Styela clava: one gene and its partner. The protein of the gene in region 1 binds, or shares a complex with, the protein of each later gene. Links are inferred from orthologs where the notes say so. Each region holds a gene or a part of one and is shown in the gene's direction. Other genes may lie near its edges.

The links.
Region 2: the proteins of uncharacterized protein LOC120345158 (region 1) and protein O-glucosyltransferase 1-like are in contact, whole or in part, in a crystal structure (PDB 5UB5), measured with the Homo sapiens proteins. The link is inferred for Styela clava from reciprocal best matches to the Homo sapiens genes NOTCH1 and POGLUT1. Residues at the interface, in NP_060087.3 of Homo sapiens: Asn454, Glu455, Cys456, Val457, Asn459, Pro460, Cys461, Gln462, Asn463, Asp464, Ala465, Cys467, Gly472, Glu473, Phe474, Val485, His486; in NP_689518.1 of Homo sapiens: Met103, Phe104, Pro105, Ser106, Arg107, Asp133, Gly170, Pro171, Ala172, Val173, Trp174, Pro178, Thr179, Gly180, Thr214, Asn239, Gln240, Ala241, Val274.

What each region holds. Positions count from the first base shown.
Region 1 is NC_135254.1:15,458,289-15,466,947, forward strand, and holds the start of uncharacterized protein LOC120345158, read left to right. Parts: upstream 1-5,084; 5' UTR 5,085-5,261; coding exon 5,262-5,328; intron 5,329-5,634; coding exon 5,635-5,698; intron 5,699-6,273; coding exon 6,274-6,383; intron 6,384-6,619; coding exon 6,620-6,783; intron 6,784-8,659. Other genes in the region: uncharacterized protein LOC120344620, read right to left, coding at 1-25. UniProt on the Homo sapiens protein: Functions as a receptor for membrane-bound ligands Jagged-1 (JAG1), Jagged-2 (JAG2) and Delta-1 (DLL1) to regulate cell-fate determination.
Region 2 is NC_135261.1:8,666,412-8,674,337, forward strand, and holds protein O-glucosyltransferase 1-like, read left to right. Parts: upstream 1-4,762; 5' UTR 4,763-5,062; coding exon 5,063-6,235; 3' UTR 6,236-7,145; downstream 7,146-7,926. Other genes in the region: polypeptide N-acetylgalactosaminyltransferase-like 6, read left to right, coding at 7,183-7,362, 7,747-7,854. UniProt on the Homo sapiens protein: Dual specificity glycosyltransferase that catalyzes the transfer of glucose and xylose from UDP-glucose and UDP-xylose, respectively, to a serine residue found in the consensus sequence of C-X-S-X-P-C.

The sequences.
Region 1 (8,659 bases):
TTGATGAATTACCGTCGATACTCATTTTCAATATAATGTGTTATAAAAATATTCGCTATTTACATTTATTTTACGAAAATAGCTTTCTATCCTTCTTTGTACTGTATATTCAAGTCGTATTTTACGCGATGTGGATGACTGCCCACAAAGTCAGTTATAGATAAACCTACGCTCCTCGATGAAAAATAAATTAATATTTTCAATAAATTTAGACAGACCTTCCAGGTAATGTATTCCCTTCTACAAAATCTGAAACTACAGCGTGCATCTGTATCAATGAAATACATTCTGTCAAACAAATGGACATCAAATATATTGTCCTGCACAGAGATTTTTTTTTGAGTGAAGCGATTCTAACGAATGAAGTTAGTAACTGAGATACGTTGTAACTCAACTCAAATTAGCCATAAATATAAATGGTGATTCTTAGCGTAAAAGAAAACAAGAAACACTACACCTGTGCGACAGATCTGTCTAACTTCCAATCTCTAAGTTGCTAAAACCGACAGCTCGTTTTTCCAAGTAGCCTACTTTGGCTGTCGTAAATACCTAGATCAGAAAGGGCCAATCCGCACTTTCACATAGGTTTGATTGTTCAAAATGTCCACATACACAACAATTCTCCGGTGCGCGCCTACTCATATGTATAAATAATACTCTTTCAGGTTTGCTTTCATTAAAAACATTAAAACTGTTCAGTCAGTCTCATGAAAATAATATTTAGGTGTCAACATTATAACAGCGCTGAAATTAAATTGACGCAGTTCAGGGTACTTTTGTATTTGTTCTTTTACTTGTTTGGTTATTTGCGCTAAGCTGGCCTATAAATTAAGCATATATACATATAAATCCACAGGTTTAATAAAGATTTGAGTAACATCTTCAATACTATAAACCGATTTAAAGTAATGAACCTATGATGATGATCAACTGTTAAGGCTAAGAAATATACAAGGTCAAACTTTTTTAATTGGACAAACTTCTTAAATGCAACTTGTTATATATATATACATGTATATATGAAGTGTGTCATGGAAAATCATTTATGCCATTTTATATGTTTCTTTTTTATGCAGTCTATATTTATCTAGCATTCACCGGGTGCTAAATGCTCATGTCTTACACATTGTGGTTGTTTTCATACATTTGCGAAATACTCTCAGTCAGAGATTCACCAGAAAAATAAATCTGTCATGCGAGTTTAGAGTCAATCCTCGATGTACGGAAATACTTCTACAATTATATATATACAATACTATTCAATGGGGAACTGCTGACTCTCGGGTCACAAAGCATGACCCATCATGTTTTTACGAATTAATGCAAAAAACATACTGGACTTAAAATTTCAACAGTAAGCTGAGTATAGTAGGCTACATCGTTACCAACTGCCAACAGTGCCTTCACAAATCTTATAGCATACAATGGATCTGATAACTTTTGTAACTTTCACAAATTGGCATGGTTTTGAGGAGATTGTTTCTGTTTATTACAGCAGTTACATTTTAGAGGTGCAATGGTTCTGGAAGTATCCGAGAGCCATACTCATGTTCCTTTGCCGTTCATTCTTCTTTGGCATTCAGTGTCGTTTGGAAAACATAATTTTGTTGACTTGAATTAGAAATCTGAAATGAAGATGGAGCGGGATGGTGGTGACTTTACTTCGGTTGAGAGTAGATCGAAGACGATAGTAGAATTTTCTTTCAAACTCTTTCGAATGTAGGAGAAGTTTTTACCCAGCATTGTTTACGTCTTTGTTTATACTTATACACGCGAACCCGTGTTTTCACACACTAACATAAGTTGCATAAAATCGAGTATCTGTAATCGTCACAGTCCTGAAAAAAGTGCTGTTTGTGTAAAGATCAAAACTGCGCACTATCTATGAGCAAATGACGCAAATTCCCCTTTTTTCTAATTAAAAAGTTCGTAATTTAAATCCTTGCTATGGATGTTTCCCCGATCATCGATTGCCTTGTTTATTTCTGTAACAATGACCAATCAGCAAAAAAGTAAACGATGACGTAACAATGGTAATTTTTTTACAGACGCCCTGTTCGGTTGTAAACATTACCTCGTTTTCGTGGTTTTGCGTGTTATTTGTCAGATTTCAGTTGTGTTTCTAAAAATTAGTTGTAAATGAAGTAATTTAATTGTCAATATGTCTCCCGATGAGCTTTAGTTTAGTTGCAGTAATCAAAAATCAGTCCCAGAAAAGCTGCGATAGACTATGCTCAAAGTAAAGTAAGCTATCAGTACCTCTTAGCGGCAACTGGTTGTATATTTTGAAAAAAATATGATGGTTTTTGATCATGTAACTAAGTTTGTAAGTGCCAACTTTTCAATAAGCAACCAAAATGTTGCAATAGCAAAGTATGGGGAGAATTTTTCTGGGGTCACGGGTCGGGGAAACATCCTATATATAGATATTACGATTTCAGTTGATTGTAAAACATTGAGTAATGTCAGTGGTATATCAATACGACAAACACTGGACACATATTGTTGTGGAATCTGCGACAGTAGCATAAAAAGTTGATAAAATAGATGGATTGAATTATGCCCACCACTCGTTTCGTGCACTACTGCCGCTATGTCAGTCGCTGGTCTCTCTATGTGCTTGTGCATCCAGCGACTGTTTCGAACCTATTGGCCGATCTAAAAAATATTCATGAATAGCGATCTACATGTAGTTCTTAGTGTCGTTGATTATTGCAAATTTTTAGCAGTAAATTATAGAAAAAAAATATTCGTTTTTCATTCGAGGTGAGGAAATATGATTATCGAATTGATAAATTAATAAACCAGTTCTTTCCGTTCACTTTGCGCTTACCTGTCAAGATGCATACATAGCATTTGGTGTTGCACGAAGCAGACACTGACCAATGACTATCCAAATCACCATGCGCCCAAGTAATAATTATTAGTTGAGCCAACTCATAATATTCAATAAAATCTGCTAACTATCAGATAAAAATGTTTTGATTAATTGATGTTAACATTCTACTCATTCATATTCAAAAATGTATGAGATTATTACTCCATGCACCATTGGCGACTGTCGCTGCTGGACTGGAGCTTGCCTGTCGTGATTTCCTGCAGACTGTCGTAAATCTGTAAATAAAGAAACCCAGACGCGACGGGAACTTGATAGCTGTTTTCTATCTATTGCAAGGAAGTACTAGCCAAGCAACCAGCGGGATATTTGTCGCAAATATGCAATTGTCAATGCAGCGATATTCCAGTATTTGCTTACACACGACAAGTTTAAGTGATAGGCTCAAAACTAGGAGGTACCCAGGTACCGGCAGACCGGTACCGTAATTCAGTACAGCAGTACGGTAATGCAGTTTCTAGGGAACCGGTTTTAGACAGGATTAATAATACCTCTTTGTCAGCGTGTCAGTTAATAAGCTGAATATCTTTAACTGTTGTTAATCATATGCAAAATTCTGAAATATAATTTTCTGAATCTGAAATTTTCACGATCACCATAAGACAGTAAGAAGGAAAGTAGAGACCAAATAATAGTCTTATGTCTGTTCTGGTACCGGTACCGGTATGTTGTATTGACTGACTGTACTTTTTGTCATTTACGACAACATACATAAGACATTATTTTAGAGTTTGAGTACCATACTATAAATCTGTATGCTGGTATGCGAGTATTTCAAACTACTGTTATAAACGTCTATAGTCTGATAGTAGTCTTTGTACCGTATAATTCTAGTGAAGTAGTATAGAACAAACTAAAATTTTTGTCTAATTTCAAACTTTTTTGTATGGTATTTTCTGTATATTTACCAAAAATCTTTTAGCAAGGCGGCGGTGTGGCTCAACGGGCTAAGCGTTAGGAATACGCTCGCCACCGCACCTCTAATTACTCTGCGTGGGTTCGCAGGTTCGAATCCCATGTAGGGATGGTTATGTGCGAGAGGATTGCTGGACTCCTCGCCGTCGTTGGGTGGTTCACGTAACCGCTGGTCGGTTACGGCTTCCTCCACCACCAAGTCCATGCTTCCGAAGACAAACAATACAGTAAAAACTAATCCCATACCCGACTTGGAATGGTAACCGGACGAGAGGCCGTGGTTCGCCATATGGATAAGCCGTCTTATCGGCTTTCCTCTCCCCCGGGATAAATATGTAAATCCTATCCTATCCTATCCTATCCTTAAAAGCATGCAGTCAGTGAATACTGAAATAAGCTTACTCATAAATAATTAAAAATTTCAAAATATTAAATTAATAATTAGATGAAAAATACTAACCATTGTACTGTTGTAAGCAGTGTAGTAAAGAACTAAGGAATTTCTATTGTGTCTATTGGAGTTGGATGTATTACTGCATTATTAAGAATTTAAACAAGAAGATGTTAATTTTGAATTGAACACCTCCAAATAAATAAAAAAAAAAACTAAAATACCTTATCAAAATATTTAATTATGGATATTCTCAAATAAAGTAAACAATAATATGATTTTTATATCTTCGGATTAACAGCTCAACCAAATTCATCTCTTCATTTTGGAGCCCCACAAGGGAGAAAATCTCACACTCAATACTACTTGATTCATGTATTGATTTTTAGGTTAATCTCTTATTAATCTTATGGATGCAATAATGTCACTGAAAGATTAGTGCCATAACTGTATAATAATATATTATAGAATGTGGGAACTGTTTTAATAATCATTATGCTTTTAAACTGCTAGCTTGATATTTCTAGTTAAGCATTTTGAGCTATAGAAGCAAGACAGATTAGTCTGAGTTACAACACTGCCATATTTCCCAACTTGGGAGGGATTCCTTACCAAGGAGAAATATTGTCACTCGAGGAGGAATTTTGCTTTATATATGCTGTAGTCTTACAAGTATTGTTTAGTTCTTTATCCTTACTGTAGCACTTCTCTTGTGCATAACACTAGCTAAAAATCGATATATGAATACAGTTTTTTTATGTGTAGGGAGAGAGGAACATAGAGTTCCAAATAAGTTGAAGAAAGAAATTGAACGAAAAATATTGGGAAGCACTGGTTTATTTGAACGTCTTGGGGGTAGTAGGCTGTTTTTGATATAATGTATTCAATATTTTACAGATGATAGTTCAGTTAATTCCTTATCCACTGAAATAAAAGAAGGAATGTAATCAGCAATAAAGAGATCAAGTTAATTTATTTAATAAGGTTTTATCATATTTTACTCTTGTGACATACATATTGTATCGTATGTCGAGGAAGTGGATTTAACTTCAACAAAAAATGGATTTACCTCAATTTCGGATTATTTTTCAAGCGGCAATTTTTCTTCCATTTTTATTTGTTTACGGTATGTTATTTATTCTATTGTTTCATACAGTGTTGTAGATTGTTTTAGTCAGATATTTATCTAAAAAAGTCAATTGTGGAATGAAAATTCTCACATGAGTACAGTTGAGCTGTATAGGAGCATTCTTCACAATATTTCACCGAAATAAAATAGGAGATTAAATATTGCTTGATATATGTGATTTCTTCCTTGGTCATATTTTTGAGAAAATTTATGTGTATTGACGCTGTTTTATATTTTAGCGAGAATAATGAAGTTAAATAAAAATGTGCTTGGAATATGTTAATTATATGTTTCATTTTTTAGCATCTGGTTGTTCATCTAATGCGGATTGCACAAGTGGCCAAATATGTATAAGTTCAGTTTGCAGGTAATGTTTGCTACGTTCATTTTCATCTATTTATTGCATTGAGTTTTGTGGGAAAAATTTCGTATGTGCTATTGTGTTCAAACATAATTATGGGAAATTTTTCGTCTCTGTTTATTTGAAGAAATCAACAATTTGTATCCGTATGTTTCAAATACATAAAATAGCTGGTTTTCATTTAAATGATTATCACGTTATTGTATATCTATTAATGTTGAATATCAATTTTATGTTAACAGGATATGTATAGACCATTTAATTACATCCTGATTGCGTCTAGTTATAGGTTGTGCATGTATTACACCAATTAATTTGCAATATTCAGTTTTATATTTATTCTGAATATGCCTAATTTATACTATTTATCCGACTTTGTATTTTTTATAAAACAATTAACGGTACAAATAAAATTGTTTTCGAAACTTCTATTTTAAGAATTTATAGTATATTTTGAAAAAGACCCTGAACTTTGAGGATTTTACTCATTTTTAGGCATTTAGGCTGATTTTATTTTTTTCTTAAATTATTTAATATGAATGAATTTTATTCATAAAACTATCACATTATTTCTTTTATAGTGTATCTCCATGTGCTTCATCACCTTGTGATAATAGCGGAACGTGTGGCGTAGTAGCAACATCTTCCACTGACTATACATGGCAATGTTCTTGCCCATCTACATATATGGGTAAGCATATTTGAGAGTTTTGAAAGATTTAAAGTTATTACCACTTTATTGATGTGCCATCAAAATTTACCGTATTCATTTTTTTCACATCAGTCGGTCATGATTTTCTAATCTGAACTATTTTAAGGCATCTATTAGAGTGTGCCAGTTCCTTATATGGAACATTATTATTTACTGATTGTTTGTAATCATTTCTGGCGAATTCTATAATGAAATTTATTCTGTGTTTTCTTTAGGGACCACATGCAGTGATTACAATTACTGTCATTCAAACCCATGCAATCACGGAACTTGTACTGTCGTGTCAAACAGTTTTGAATGCACTTGCACGGATGGCTATTATGGTGACACGTGTGCCAATGATAAAGATGAATGTTCTGACAATCCTAACCTATGTGCGGTATGCCGATTCATTATATTACTCAATAATAGACATTGTTAATTCTATCTTTGTACCTTGGATACTAAGGCTGTTATCATAATTTTCCATATAGCTTACACTATGAAAAATCCAGCAATGTAACCATCGGAGGCAGTAATTCACAGTTTATTTACAGAAATAAAATTTCCGTTCACCTGGAAATTATATTTTTCGATACTGAGTCAATGATGCACACTATATCATATCCCTACATGTATGATGCAGTGACCGTTTTTTTACTAGTAATAGGGGTGATGCATACTGTGTCACTTATGTAAGCAAGAGTTTAAATGTACAGTGGTTAAACTGGGGTAATATGAGCATCAAAAACTAAAATTAGATTGTGTACTATACTATTAAATTGTTTAGCAGCTTAAAGCTTTTGATTTTATCAAGCTGGTGAAACTTGGTACGAAGTCTTCAACTAGTTCGTTCGTTGTTTAAAAAAAATAATGATATTTAAAAAACCCTGATTTTCATGAATCAGGATAGTAGCATCATCAACATGAGTTATGGCACATATCTTAAAGAAATCATATTCTAGAATATTTTCATCATTATGTGACAGCTCACCCTCATAAATTCCGACAATACCATGCCAATATTTGATTGATTATTGATAGGATTATTTAAAAAACTATATTTTTAATTTGTAATAGACTGTTTATCCGCAAAATGAACAGTATTTTAAACAAAGTTTAAGACATATATGGACACCAGACATATATAGACATTTGTGAAACGTAGCTCCCGCTTACGAAACTCTTTATTGTTCGAATCAACTGATTTGCGCTTGTTTTGCTTCAACTTCCGTGATCATTCAATTAAATGTAATTATCAAATTACTTCGGGTACTTAATTATATGATACTTCAGGAATTTTTAATCGCCAGAAGCAAAAGTCTTTAACATAAAATAAAATATCTAAGTATAATGGTGTTACGTTGGGGAACAAGTAGACAATTGTATTTTAATTGACCAACAAGGTGAATTCCTTCAGCTTCTATTATGTATAACTCTTAACCTAAATTGCTTAGTCAAGCGGAACATTTTATTAATTTGTAATGATGAATTTATTACTTTATAAATTTTATGTAATTTGTTTATTGTCTCCCCCTCATGCAAAATTATTGTTACTCTTTTTATGAGCGCATCATCTTTCGCTTGTGAGAATTTAACGACTATAGTTCCAAGTGCCACTTATAATTTGTGCCTCGTTATCGTTTATTGTTATTTAAAATTAAGAGTAGGTGTCTTTTATCATTGTTCCTTTCAAGGATGACTGACTTAATGTATTATAGATTTTCAGTTTCAAACTTTGATTTTCATCTACTCCATACAGGCAAAATTATTGATGTACTGGGTGACTCAAAAAAAACTGAACCCACAAATTTCTTGATCACTTTTGAAGGAAATACATTTAACTCATAAACTTATGTTTGTATATGATTGTATCCAAAAGTTTCAGTAACACTTAGCACAAAAGTTAAGTTCTCTCTAGAATATATTCCAAATGACATGGGTTCTCTTTTGACGTCACCCTGTACCATTCTCCTGGGTAACTTATGTAGTTATGTAGTAAAAGATAACCTATAATCCTATATCACTATTTTTTTGGAAAATTTATTAGAAAATAATAGATTCAAACATCATTGGTTTTGTTTGTTCTTTGTTCATGCTTGTAAATTGAACTACCTGCCGCAACTGTGTAATTCAGTAGACATTTGGTCAATATTAGCTTTATAATAATAGGTGATTTTATATGAGAACTTAGTATTGTTTATTTTTACACACTATTATTCATTGTAAAACAAATTTAGTCGGCAAAAGATTGATTTATCATAATAGTCATTGTT
Region 2 (7,926 bases), on another chromosome or scaffold:
TCGGGTCATTAATAACAGATGAACCGGGGAAATTTTTCTTTGTAGGTTCTTCCTGCATCTGTTGCTAGAATTTCGGAAATGTCTGAATTTGAAGCAACTGCCAAGTTTTGCGAACTGCAAAATACCTTTTTTTGACATATGCAACAGCATTACTGACGTGGATTCCCTCAAAAACGGAAATCTACTACTACTCTCTGAAACATCTGGACACAAAAGACTGCAGTAGATCAGCTAAAATTTCATAAATTATTTTACACACTGAAAGTCTACAACAGGTGATTAGCTCAAGGATTTTTTAACAAAATAAATGCTATACAGCTACATGCAACACACTTTGTAGTCATATTTAAAAAACAACAAAGTCTACAACAGGTGATTAGCTCAAGGATTTTTTAACAAAATAAATGCTATACAGCTACATGCAACGCACTTTGTAGTCATATTTAAAAAAAAAACATTTCATTGCTTCTCCAGCGTATGAAGGGCTCCAATTACTGGTACCTTCAACATGTGATATACCATATTAGACCAAACATCTGTCAGACCCCCCTTTAAGTGTAAAATAAAAGTCTTCTAAATTGTTCTACTATATCATACATATAAATATTTGTGGCTTGAAACACTTTTTAGAGTTGACCATCGGGACTATTATAAACTAACATTTGCCGGCTTCCGATCAGATCTGCTAGGTGTTTTGGTCTAACTTGTCAATTAAAAATTTCAGACCCCTCCCCTTCAAAATCTTCAGTTATGCCCGTAGGGCCTCACCCTAAATATTGAATGAATCGCCAAAAAATGTTCAGTTTAAAAAATGCATATTTTGCAGGTCGCGGGGCTGGGAATCCATCGGTGCTCCGATATATATTTAAGGGTTAACTGCCAAAGCCTGGTTCTCAATAAAAACTGTGTCCTGACAATCAAACTTTTAGAACTCCACAAAGTACAACACAAAATGCATGCTTACAGAATGCATGCTTGAAAATGAAAAACCGCATCAAACTAAAATCCCCAACAGTAAATTAAAGCAATTCACGACGAAAATTCTGTGTCGCTCACAGCGAAACGCTGTTGAATGAATACCAGAGTTGCATGTAGACAGGCTTTCTTTAGGAAAAATACAAACAATGACATGATCCAACTAACTACAATAAATTATAATTTGAATGTTTTTATTCTGGCATTGTCATATGTTGTGTATGGAATTTTTTTTTCTAGAAACTTACCTCATCCAATACTGAAATCTACTATAATACATCATATTTAAAACTACTATAATACGTGATACTGAAATTAAATTACTGGGTAAACCTCGGATGAAACCCTTGGGGTGAATCATATATACTGCAGCAGTACCAGGGGATTTCCGACTAAATATGGAAATCTCAACCGTTTCAAGTATGTCTGTGAAGTCACGACCTAGAATCTAGATCGACAGCGACCACCGAAGCAAAGATAAAACGACAATGCTACGGTCAAGTGCACGGAGAATTTCATAGTGAGACTGCCGAGTACTTACAAGCAACCCTTTCTAGAATTTTTATATTTATCCTAGGCCAGGGATGGGCAACCTTTTTCGGCTCGCGTGCTAAAATCGACTAAATTTACCCACAAAATTCTTCCGCGTGCCGACCAAAATTAAAAACAATGCTTTGCTATTTTCAATACAAAAATACACAATAATAAACCTTTTAAACATGTACAGACAAATTCTCAGACAGACAAATATATTTGATTACTTTTCTTATTCTATATCAGTGAGACTTCTTCTGCTGCATTGCCGCTGATAGAGATTTTACATTGGAATTATATTTTGTAACTTTCAAAGATATACACAAACTACTGGTTTCATCTTCCAGGCTACTCCTGTTACGAAACTTAATAAAGTTCATATCTGAGAACAGAGAAGACAAGAAAATTTTCGGGAATGGCATCCCAATCACGCAATAGTTCGTTCTTCACTTCTCTCCTGCATTCCGGTGCGGCGCGGCTCATCGTGATAAGCGTTAGGAATACGCTCGCCACCGCATCACTAATTACTCTGCGAGGGTTCGCAGGTTCGAATCCCATGCGGAATGGTTGTGTGCGAGAGGATTGCTGGACTCCTCGCCGCCGTAGGGTGGTTTACGTAACCGCTGGTTGGTTACGGCTTCCTCCACCGTCAAGTCCATGCTTCCGAAAAACAAGTAGCTAACTAATCCCAAACCCGACATGGAATGGTAACCGGACGAGAGGCCGTGGTTCGCCATATGAATAAGCCGTCTTGTCGGCTTTCCTTTCCCCCGGGATAAATATGTAAATTCTATTATAAAAGAAATTGATAAAACAGTGAACGTCTAGCTAAATTTCAACCTAAAAATGGCCAAATTATACCTCTTGGGGTAGTTACCCCTAGTTGGGAAGCACTTCCATAGGTAATGATACGCACCACTGCTTTGTTGTGGTTCGGCACTGGCAAAAAAAGCAATAAAAATTTCTCATTGTTCACGCTCGGTTGATTTTCTATTGTGACGTGCTACACACAAGGGTCAAATTACTGTACGAACCCTGCATTTGCAACGTTATTTTATGTTTGTGACACGTGTAAATCAGTACCGGTACCCTTTATTAAGTTAGAAAAAGCTGAAACAGGTAGCCTATATATTTACTCATACGTTTAGGGATAACTCGCATTATATCACATTCTCGATGACTGATTCAGCGACATCCACTTACAGACTTAACTTACCTGTATATAGATGTAAGTTACCTTGCAATGCAATTTATTTCACTCATTTTTTACATCCAATGGAACTGTCACTTGTCTATCTATATGCATTTCAGCATCGACAGTCAGATAGGAAAAAAATTCATTATTTGGATCCAGGAATTACAGTGAAATACAGAGATATGTCTGAATTCTGTCTGTAGTTAGACATGGTTTGCTTTGACCCGTGCAGCTGTGTGTCTGCTAATAGGGTACTGCGCAATAAAATAAAATGTAAGCACATTCTGAAAATGTCACCATTAGATTCCTTAGAAAAAATTTAATCCTTATTTACCAAAGAAAAAAAAAATTACTGTAGCATTCAAGGGTTTTTAAGAAAAAGAACGCAATCTTGATAATCTGCAGGCCAACGCAGTCACCAATGATTTAAATTATTACTGAAACACGCTTGACATGATCTGGCGCATTTGATGGCGTGCCAGAGGCCCTCATTTCAGAGAAAAATACGGTGTTTGTTTTATTGAACCAAACGTCACTACATTTTGCAATTGGAGAACTGTTTTTCTATTGATTTAAGGTTTCATCAACTGCTTTTGAGATCTTATATCTCATCCAAGCTGATTGAATATGTTGGTATATTTTATTACTGTAATCTTTCCAATTGCTTTGTGAAAAAATACATTTCAGTTTTGAGCATCTTTGATATTTTGGAGGTCAGCAAATGAGGAGAATTCCAAGTCTTGAATATTGCGGCCACTGATGAATATTCAATTAAAGTAGTTCTTTCCTTATGAATAATTTACAAGAGTTTTTACTACCAAAGCACAGTTGCGCCACAATGACAGAATGAGATTTCATTAGTTCAACAACATTCTCATTCCAGATAAATGTAAATGGAGTAAAGAAAGGGTCTTACTACTTACTGAATACAGCGCGAAACACCGCAAAACAGCGCGAAACAGCGCAAAAGAGCGCGAAACAGCGCAAAACAGAGGAAAACAGCGCGAAACAAAAGGAAACCAGCGCAAAACAGAGGGAAACAGCGCAAAACAGGAGACGCAGTTATTACCACCTCCTGCCACGAAAGAACCACGGCGCCTCTCGCCATGGTTTTATGGCATGATTTCCGGTATATTTACAAGGTTATGTACCGGATTATAGGTCATCATGCGAAATTTTATCTACCTTTTTGGTGCTCCAGAAGTATGTGCAGCAATATGTCGCACAACCTGAATCCGCTACACACACACACACACATACTATTTTCAGGTTGTGCGCCATCTTGGTGCACATACTTCTGGAGGTCCCTTTTTACCTAACCCTAACCCTAAAGCCAACCATATCCACATGGAAAATGTTCTAAATTATGGTACCCAAAATGTGTCACCAGCAGGGGCAGACCTGCCATTACAGCATTACTGGCTACATACGTTGGTTTGTGTTTTTAATTTGCTGCCGTGGTAATCCAACTCAAAACAAGGTGCCCCGAACTCATTGCAAAATTTTTTTCTGCTTCACACTGTTTCCCTCTGTTTTGCGCTCTTTCGCGCTCTTTTGCGCTGTTTCCCCACCATTTTGCGCTGTTTCCCTCTGTTTTGCGTTGTTTCGCGCTATTTTGCGCTGTTTCGCGCTCTTTTGCGCTGTTTCGCGCTCTTTGCGGTGTTTCGCGCTGTATTCAGTAAGTAGTAAGACCGGTAAAGAAAAGGTTATTTTTTTTTGACTGAAAATTTCAAAAATATACCTTTGAAAATATACTTTTGAAAATATACTTACGTGTTACTTAAAAAGATATAAAAATGACTGCTGAGTGAAATTAAACCAAATGCCAGAATGCTGTTGTTGCTAGAGTTGTGCAAAAAGAAATAGGTATTCACTCAACAGTATGTTGATTTGAAAAAAAATATTTGTTTTAAATATTTGTTCATGCTGACAGAGTTCAAATAAAAATAAAATGTGCTTGCCCTTGTTACCAAGCTGGGTTGATGTTGTGATGAATAATGTTGTTCTGAATAATACTATTCTATTGAACACAAATGGCTAAATATTATACTATTAGGTAATCAGATTTATTCTGAAGAATTATTCGCCCAGTGACTCTACAGAAAATTCACTGTAACTTTTTGCTTACAGTGCCCATTTGTGATTGCAATCGGAACAGGATCGTACAGTTCAAACTTTCTTCAAGCTGGAAAATTGGCTATTTTCATTTAAATTTTTACTGGGACTGCAAGATCTAACTAACAATATTTATGCAGAGAATGTATTAGGAAGTGTGCTATATTATCCTAATGTATTAGTGTGTAAATTAGGTTTTGGTAGATTCTGGTAACTTGGTGGTGTCTGTATGCTGTAACCAACATGGCAAGAAAAACTTGGATTATACCATGTCTATGCATTTTTATTATGTTACACAATCTATGCTTGACCAAAGATTCTGAAGATTGGTCAAAATATCTTGATTCCATCAAGAATGCAATGGAAAATTATAAACCATGTGAAGGCAACTGCACCTGCCATTCAAATGTTATAGATAATGATTTGAAAATATGGCAAAACAGGGGTGGAATTAAAGAAGAGGATTTTGAACGAGCTAAGAAGTATGGAGTTCATTATCAAATCATTGATAATATTCTTTATCGAGAAGAAAAATGCATGTTTCCATCAAGATGTTCTGGAATTGAACATTTTATAACACAACTTCTTGACGATCTTCCTGATATGGAGATGATTATTAATGTAAGAGATTGGCCTCAAACAAACAAACGAGACCTTGATCCTCGACCTGTGTTTTCATTTAGTAAAGTTGTTTCACAGCATATTGACATCATGTATCCAGCATGGACCTTTTGGGAGGGCGGTCCAGCTGTTTGGCCAATATATCCGACAGGGCTAGGTCGCTGGGATGAAATGATGAAGTCTTTAAAAGCAAAGTCAAATGAATGGCCTTGGAATCGCAAAGAAAATAAGGGATATTTTCGTGGGTCTAGAACCTCAGCGATGAGGGATCCATTGATTTTACTGTCTCGATCAAAGCCAGATTTAGTGGATGCTCAATATACAAAAAATCAAGCTTGGAAATCTGATAAAGATACATTGGGAGCAGAACCTGCGGAGCCAGTCCATCTACTCGAACATTGTAAATATAAATATCTTTTCAATTTTCGAGGTGTTGCTGCGAGTTTCCGATTAAAGCATTTATTCTTGTGTGATTCCCTTGTATACCATGTGGGAAGTGATTGGATTGAATTTTTTTATCCAGCTTTGAAACCATGGGTTCATTATATTCCTGTCCAAGACAATTTGAATGCTGTAGAACAATTACTAAAATTTGCCAAAGAAAATGATCAAGTTGTTAAAAATATTGCTACAAGAGGACGTGAATTTATTGAACAATACTTAACAATGTCGGAAGTGAAGTGTTACTGGAAGCAGCTTCTGAAAAAATATGGCAAACTTCTACAATATCGCGTTAAACGTGATAAAGGATGCATGAGATTATCTCATCCAAAAAATCAGCATTCAGAATTTTGATATTCTCCACTGTTGTCTGTTGATATTCAAATTTTTTGTATTTTGGAATACCCACTGATAAATTATGGAAAGAGTGTGTATGCAGGTACAAAATTGCATAGCTATGCAAAAACTGAGGTTAATTAAGGCTTTATAATGGTGCTGATTTTCAATTTCATACTCTTGTTTGCTTAGTACAACATAGATGTTTTCCCTGAAAAAGTTAAATGTTCTCTAACAGGTAATGCAAAATATAAATTCATAAAATCATTTGGTTTGAAAATGAAAAAAAATCCGAGCGTTGTGTAAGCATGACCAAAATTTTTTATTTTTAAGTGTTCAATATGATTTTTGGATATCCCAATTTCGATTATTTGAAATTGAAATTTAACAAAAAGGGAAATTCTTGAATTCCAAGTCATTTTGATGAGGGTGTCTCATAGGTTTTTGTTGTTGATTGCCTATGTACTTTTTATGTAATAACAAAAATAGGTGGTTTTTTTTATGAATTGGATTATTCATATATTTTTATACTGTAATCTTGATTGTTTTTAAGTACACTTGTCCTTTGTCTTTTAAGTACAATAGGTAACAACTAGGCCACTATAGATATAAACGGCTTTCTGATGTCTGGGGTAACCTCCAGATATTGACTGGCAAGCTGAAGTTTGGGAATACCCCATCAAGACCAAAAATCTCAGAAAAAAAAATATAAATTCCTCCCCACTTGAGAAATCTTAGAATAGCCAAATCACTTTGGAAATTGTTGTTCTCTCGACACGTTTACGATTTATTGTTGTGTTTTGTTGCTGTGTGAATTAGTGTTAGTTTCCTATGTGTGTGTTCTTTGCTGTAGCCTAAACTGAAAATATGAAATTTCTTTTGCTTTGATGCCAAAAATAACAAATCACTACCTTTAATATTTTGCTAGTCATTGTATATGAAATAAATAAATACCATAATATATAATGAGGCTCAGGGCCAAAAATCTTGTTCGAATTTTACTTCTGATGGTAGCTGTGTCAGTCGTTTATTATTACTTACAACTTCGATCACTGAAAGATGATAAAGAAAAAACTTTAGTACGGAGTCCGCATAACGGTGCTGGTGATGACAGCGATCTAGATCAAATTGATATTGGACATGAAGTATGTTGGAAACTTGCTTAATTTTGCTTTTGATTCACAATCATGGCGAACTAAGAAAAAGAGAGCCATTGGCTTGGGTATTATTTGCTAAAAATTAACAGTAATATCTTGTTCAATAATTTATATATAATATAATTAAAGTGTTATATTACTGGAGATTAGTCAATGTTTCAAGAAAACAATTTTAGTTTTAAGCACCCAAGAATTTACAATTTCTAACAAATCCTACTACAATTTCAAATTTTATGTTGTTAAACAATTGTTGAATTATATGTCTGATATCTGTTGTATTGATAAACTGACATTTCATTGATCGAATGTTGAGGATTCATTCCTACAAATACATGATTTTGAACTTGCAAACTATTCAATATGTCTTCCCAGGCTAAAGACTATCCAGCAAGACATGACAGAAATGAAGAATATGCACAATATGATGCTCATGGGGAAAAGTCTTCCATAAACACGCAACCTTTTGAATGGGAAAAGAGGGTGAGTTATGATTTATTTCATGAAAAACTAGGGTGATGTACATTAGCAATGGCAGAGAAATATTTAGTCTTT